2 linked regions of the Kluyveromyces lactis genome follow. The protein of the gene in region 1 interacts with the protein of each later gene in a biochemical or structural test. Links are inferred from orthologs where the notes say so. Each region holds a gene or a part of one and is shown in the gene's direction. Other genes may lie near its edges.

Region 1 (4,285 bases):
CGTGGGACAAAGGCCCATTATCAACCTTTAATTGAGACATTTGTTATTTTCAATAGTATTTGAATTATCACGGATGTAAAAGTCTCAACAGTATGGAATATCAATTACAGTGATTTGGTGTATCAGAAAGTTCTTCAAGCGTTATCTTAACGGTCTTCTTTGTTTTCAACAACGTCCAAAATTCAGAAACGGAAAACCAAATTAAAGAATGATGCTTTAAATCAAACAAAATATAATTGACAATTGACCACGGTAAAAGAGGATTAAGTGGCTAAGGCAACAATACAATCTAATGAATCCTATCCCAAGTTCAAATTAAAAAACAGGTTTCCCAGTTGAAGTACCAGACACGCAATATTTATGTTGTTCACGCGTTAACTAACCGTATTCCTTATATGTATATATGCGTATTGGCATTTATTTATATATACAAAGTGAAATTCAAAGCTTTTTTTTCATCTTCAAAAAAATCGATTTCGTGCCTCTTGGGATAAATCTGTAAAGAATGTACATCGTACGAAGTGACTCAAGAAACGGTTCCCGACGTTACGGATACAATGGTCGAAAGCAAACGGTACACGGGATGCAGGCAGCATATTTATACCTTGCATCTCGTTAATGTTACAAGAATTTGTTAGTGTAAACATTAACTAATGGAAGAGTGAGGTGGTGGGTCTGGCACACCTTTTGATATCGTTCTTTTGGTTCTAATGATGAGAGAAAAAAGACGTATGCCGAAAAGTCTGGCCAGAAAAGCAAAATATCTGGTCATAGTGGGATGGGATAAGTGTCACACGAAATTACTGGTTCTAGTTGGACAAAGTACAGCCGAGGTAGAGCCTAGAATAGGAAGAGATCGACGTAAAGTTATTTGTAGAATACGTTGTTCCTTTGATAGGAATAATTCGGTGCCTGGTGATACGGTTGTATGACTATCAGACATATTTAATGTGTCGTCCCCAATTCTAGGATATACAGCATATACGAATGTTTAGATATGAAGATGACTATCCTAGAGCGTAAAAACACAGTCTATCTTTTATTAATAATTCGATACATTTGCTTCGTGAGAAAAGCAGTCTCATAGCTAGTTGTTTGAATTAAGACAGTCAGACTCATATGGTATGAGTCGATTCTGCTAAATTTTTTTTTTCTTTCGGTATGGAAACTATGAAATCTTTAAAATTATATAGTTTTCGAAAAGAAATAAGTGAACAAAGAAGGGCTTCACTGCAATAAGAAGTACAATGATTAACAAGGCTAAAGGGCAACAAAGGGTACAGCTGGGTCTTGAGTGTACCTTAATCAAAGAGATTATTTGTTATTTTTTTGGTCATATAAGGGGTACTGAATCCTTTTTATGATTATATTCAGTATTCTCTTATTATTATTTTGTTCATCAACTGTGGATATATAAGAAGAGAAATCACACAATCCACTTTTATCAACTTGATTAAATCTGTTCCAAAGATGTCGGACAGGGGTCTTCATGATCCCTTCGAACTGTTCGCTAGTACAGATTCTGGCGTGAGCCATGAGCCGTCGTGGAACCATACACAGTTTGATGCCATGTTGGAGATATTGCCTGAAAATCTGAACTTGGATGTTGGGGGACTGCAACAAGACACTTCGTCTCCTGTCGCTACTACTCTGAAATTCGAATCTAATACTACTACTACTACCATTACAAATGCTTCTATGAAAGATGATGGTAGCCCCGATGTTATTGGCGAAGAGGATGATGAAGGTGGCTGGAAAACACCTGTGGCAGAAATATCATCGCATAATGGGTTGAAAAGTAGGCCGATAGATATTGTTCAAAGTGTTACACCATCAACAACTGCAGGCCAGTTAATTGGGAACGACTTGAATTTGCAAAATGGTGAAATTGCTCAACTCTGGGATTTTAATGTCCATGAATTTATGATGACGCCGAGTGATCATAGTGATTCCGCAACGATAAGTGCCCCGTCATCTTTCAACTCAGAACAATTCACTCCAGGAACAACTACACCTGGCTTCAATCCCGCATCTAGCACGGCGTCCATAACTAATAATAATTACAATAATGGCAATAATAACGGCAACAATAATAATAATAATAATACCAACTCTAATTCGCATTTCCAAAACAGTTGGAATCACTTGTTACACCAGCAACATGATAATGGACCGAACAGCAGCTCTTTGGCGTACCAACACCCTAGATTATTCCAAAACAATAACTCTAGTCAGTCAACAATCAAAGCAGATGAATACCAACATAAACAACCTCAACTTCCGCGAAGAAGTAGTTCCAGAAATCTTCTTATTAAAAATGACATGAATGAAGATGGGGCTCTACCTCTACTTACACACACTACTACCAATCTTGTCAAGAAAAATTCCTCTGTGAAAAACCTTCCGACAACCACTCTACCTCAGTATAGAAGGTGTTCTTCGTCGACAAATATGCAAGTCATGAACGGACCTCCCGTGAACAATGGTGCTAAAGCAAATAAACCGCCAACGCAGTGCTATAATTGTAAAACTTTGAAAACTCCACTTTGGAGGCGTGATCCAGATGGTAATACACTTTGTAACGCCTGCGGTTTGTTTCAAAAGTTACACGGCACAATGAGACCTTTATCGTTGAAGAGTGATATCATAAAAAAGAGGAATACCAAGAAGAGAACCAAAAAAGATGACAAACCAGCATCAAATATGGAATTACAAGGACAGAATGATCATTCCACAAATAGAGGATCACAGTCTCCTGAGAAATTTCAAAGGAAACTTTCGGCAAAGCACACTTCAATTCAGCCGGCAGCTAATATTTATAACCAATCTGCATTAAGTCAAAACTCATTGAATAATCTCAACAAGAAGACGGCAACAAAATCCAGACGTTCCTCAACTTCATCCTCAACGTCCAGCAAGTCATCTTCATCAAGATCTGTTGTTCCAATTCTGCCAAAACCATCACCTGGGTCAAGGGAAAACACATTACAACAATTCCAATATCAAATTCAAATGCAAGTCTCTCAACCTAATAGCGCGGCATCTTCACCTAGATATTCGAATTCACCCAGGTTTTATCCAACGTCTCCTTCAACTGGTCTTGGTGTTTCAATACCCCGTCGCAAATCTTCGAGAACTCAAATATCCCAGTCATCATCATTTATGGCACAGTCACTACAACAGCTACAACACCAACAGCATAACTCCTCCTCAAATCATACTTCTGCAGGAATAAGCACTAACGGTAGTAACAGCCAGGCATCTACTGCAACTTCACAGAATGCGAACAATCTATCATCATCCACAAATTCTTCGAGCAACGCGACAATATCAGCACCGAATTCATGGGCCAATCATTCTCTGTCACAGCCGCAAAACATTGCATCACCCAACTCATCAAGATCACCGTTTGAGCTATTTTCAAATCCAAACTCCCAACCAAAGAAGTCACACAAATCTTTACTTTCCCAGCAATTACAGAATTCCTCTAATTCATCTTCAAGCTCCTCATCATTTGTTGAAAATGCTTCTTCTGGTCAACAGTTGTCACAAACACCACCATCACATCATAGCCAAACACAACAAAATTTTGGCTCTTCAGTACCAGCAGCATCGCCAAGAAGCAGTTATGTAGATACCCTTCAACAACAAAGAGGTATACTGCAATACGAACAGCAACAAGTGGCTAGACGAAAGACTCCATCAACCAGGCAATCCAACCCTTCATTGTTCGAATCATCGGGCTCGTCTCTTTCGAAACCAAAAAAGGAAAACAATGTAATGGATGATTTGGATTGGTTGAAGTTTGGCATGTAACAATTCATAGGATAGTACAATAATTTTTAAATGTAACCATAAGGCTTTGTTGAATAACTCATTACTCCTGTATGATTTCTTCTGCCATTCTCATATATTCTTATTTTGTAATGCTATCATAACTATTATATAGGAATGATTTCATCAAAAAAAATTAAGGTACAATACAATGCATAGGCAATTAATTCTCTATCGACTTAAATGAACAATGCTGAGAAATCAAGAAGGGTCCGCCGAACTGACAGATAAATAAATGGTCATATGGGATCAAGTGAATTATGGAACCAAATATCCCAGTACAACGTACCCCGTGTTGCATTTAAGCAATTTGTTGCAGAGTTTGTTGAGAAGAATGGAAGGTTCCCAAGAATTGCCATAGATGGATACTTATGGTTATTCGAATGCGGGTATTTCGATGAACCACAAAACAAATCGAAGACATTGTTAAATTGGTTAAGGAAATTAAAGG
Region 2 (2,987 bases), on another chromosome or scaffold:
GAAATGAAACAGGAGAGTATCGCACTTGGGCTAGACAACATATCTGATGTGGATGAATTCAAGTCAGCATCAGAAACCTATTCAGATAATGAAACTAGTGGAAGCATACATCTATCCTCCCCTGATGAATTTGAAGAAATCGAGGAAAGCGACACATTTTCATTTTCTGATATAGATGCGGAATTGAAAAAAATTGACGAAGATCTTGACGCATTGAACTCAACTGAGTCGAATATAAACAATTTTATGTTAGAAACTTCTGAAGATGATAAACAGATTTCAGATGTTGAATATATCATTGACGATGAAGTAGATGAAAATATATCACAAAAGGTAGAAACAAATAATGCTACTCAAGTTTCCAAGAATGAAAATCAAAATAAAGACACAGAGCCCAAGGATGATTTAGCAATGCTTCTAGAATCCTTGAAGAAAGACAACGCAGATACTTCATGGGAACCTAAAAAGAAGAACAATGGTAAAAAAAATAAAAGCAGAAAAAAGCAGACGAACTCAACAACACAAATAGATTCAAACACCACTTCCGGGAACAATGCCGAGAATAAAATTTCGGCAGACATTGATAGTTTCATATGCTCAACATGTGGTGTTAAGTTTGATACTCGAAACAAAATGTTCAAGCACTTAGATTCCACAAACCATGCAGCCCCACTGTCGACTAATAAGAAAGGATCCAAGAAGCGGAATATCAGGAACAACAGTAAGTAAAAAAGAATGTCAATATCACAACCTTATCCATATTTTCTATGTAGATAGCAATTACATAAACTGGTCCTCGCTTGCCATGCGTTAGACGTATGCTCAGAGCGTCCATCCACTGGAGTTAGCAGTACTTCGCTCTAGCTGAGACTTTCTTACCCGGATACGTACGTAACGACAACGCCTTTCCTTGGTGACTTATCTAAGAAAAGTTTTCCTTTTTTTTTCTCGTCGGAAGTTCTCGTTACAATACCGATGCACACGCAGACAGACCCACCGAAGAATTGGAAATGAAAATGACCAGAATGGTGAAAAGCTAAAAAAACAATAGAAGAAAAAATAATGGAGCTGAATGTTAAATTTGGCTGACATAGATAAACTTCGGAACGCTTTCATTCGTTCATATGGGAAGTATCTGACCGATTACAAATCTAGTGTGGTTGATAACGGTACAAAATCAGCTGTAGCGAATTATTTCATATTTAGTATAGCGTTTCAGAGCTAGCAGAGAGTTTACTTTTGAACAGAGAGTTTCGTCTTCCTTTTTGGCATCGCAAGAGTATTCATAAGAAAGAGGATACAATTTTGAAAGCGAAATGCAACAAGATATGCAAAATGGTGGACCAGGGAACACCATCTCCAATCTATCTTCGGCGCTTCGTCAAGTGAATCTGGGCAACAGTAACACCACCACTGATCAGAGTAATATTTCCATTGATTTCAATCAGCAACAGTTATTGGAAGAAGCGAACCAAGGTTCCATTAACGCTTATAACGCTCAGCAGCAACAGCAAGAACATCTACAACAACAAGCACAGCAACAACAGTTACATATGCAACAACTGCAGCAAGCGCAACAGCAACAGGCACAGCAACAAGCACATCAGCAACAACAGCAAGTACATCAGGTTCAACACCAACATGTACAGCAAGACCACATGCCAATAGGACAGTCACAACAGCAAGCGATGTATCAGGGTCCAAATCCGATTGACAGCTCTAGAATTACTAAGTTTTTTCAGAATCAACCTATGGAAGGTTACACTCTATTCTCGCATAGATCGGCACCGAATGGGTTCAAAGTGGCAATTGTATTAAGCGAATTAAATATGCATTACAACACAATCTTTTTAGATTTCAACCTTGGAGAGCATAGGGCACCTGAATTTGTTGCCATAAATCCGAATGCTCGAGTCCCTGCCCTCATTGATCATAACATGGAAAACTTATCGATTTGGGAATCAGGTGCAATAATTCTCCACGTTGTAAATAAGCACTACAAGGAAACAGGCAATCCATTGCTTTGGTCTGACAGTCTTGCAGATCAAGCTCAAATAAATGCGTGGTTGTTCTTTCAAACATCAGGTCACGCTCCTATGATTGGACAGGCATTGCATTTCAGATACTTCCATTCCCAAAAGGTAAAGAGTGCTGTTGATCGGTATACCGACGAGGTTAGAAGAGTATATGGTGTGGTGGAAATGGCATTGGCCGAAAGAAGAGAAGCCTTGATCATGGATCTAGATTCAGAGAATGCGGCTGCCTACAGCGCAGGTACTACTCCTTTATCTCAAAGTAGATTCTTTGATTATCCTGTATGGCTTGTTGGTGACAAAATCACTGTGGCAGATTTATCATTTGTACCATGGAATAATGTTGTGGATAGAATCGGAATTAACATCAAAGTCGAATTCCCAGAAGTCTACAAATGGACTAAACACATGATGAGAAGACCGGCAGTTATTAAAGCATTACGCGGAGAGTAGATTATATAGCCTCATATAGATTCATGAATACAATGATAACCTCGCTTGAAAATGTAACAATCTCTGTCATTTATATTCATACACAATACCCGTAGTCTTGAGAGCATCAAGGTAGTATTAGACACATTTACAATTAGTTGAGGAATGTTGTGGAGTACTGTGCCCCTGCATGCCTTTCAGGTAAATGTTTCCGTGAACATCCTTCATACCTTTTTTTTTTTTTTCATTTTTAGATATATAAAAATAAAAAGTTGACTTTGGCTAGGGAATCACTCGCTTGCTCTACGTTTCGAAGCAGAACTGTCGATGGAAGAGGTTACGGAGACATGAATTATCAGCGTAGTGTTTAGCCATAAACCGCAGAAAACAAATTCCAATATATTTAAATAATCCACATGGTTTCAGTATGAGTGGACGTTTGCTTACATTAGAGGAAATATGTGTCATCACATTACTTCGACATCACACTTTAATTGAAGACATCAGTTATATTCCCTATAG

Evidence for each region. The genes of interacting proteins can lie anywhere in the genome.
Region 2: the proteins of GLN3 (region 1) and URE2 form a complex in vitro, tested with the Saccharomyces cerevisiae proteins (2 studies listed by BioGRID). The link is inferred for Kluyveromyces lactis from reciprocal best matches to the Saccharomyces cerevisiae genes GLN3 and URE2.

What each region holds. Positions count from the first base shown.
Region 1 is NC_006037.1:119,916-124,200, reverse strand, and holds GLN3 (nitrogen-responsive transcriptional regulator GLN3), read left to right. Parts: upstream 1-1,470; coding exon 1,471-3,816; downstream 3,817-4,285. Other genes in the region: VRG4 (GDP-mannose transporter), read right to left, coding at 1-40; YEN1 (crossover junction endodeoxyribonuclease), read left to right, coding at 4,078-4,285. UniProt on the Saccharomyces cerevisiae protein: Positive nitrogen regulatory protein. Required for the activation of transcription of a number of genes (including the allantoin pathway genes) in response to the replacement of glutamine by glutamate as source of nitrogen.
Region 2 is NC_006040.1:1,654,230-1,657,216, forward strand, and holds URE2 (glutathione peroxidase), read left to right. Parts: upstream 1-1,316; coding exon 1,317-2,486; downstream 2,487-2,987. Other genes in the region: JJJ1 (Jjj1p), read left to right, coding at 1-729; ELA1 (elongin A), read left to right, coding at 2,893-2,987. UniProt on the Saccharomyces cerevisiae protein: Plays an important role in nitrogen catabolite repression. Down-regulates the expression of many genes involved in nitrogen utilization by inhibiting the GATA transcriptional activators GLN3 and GAT1.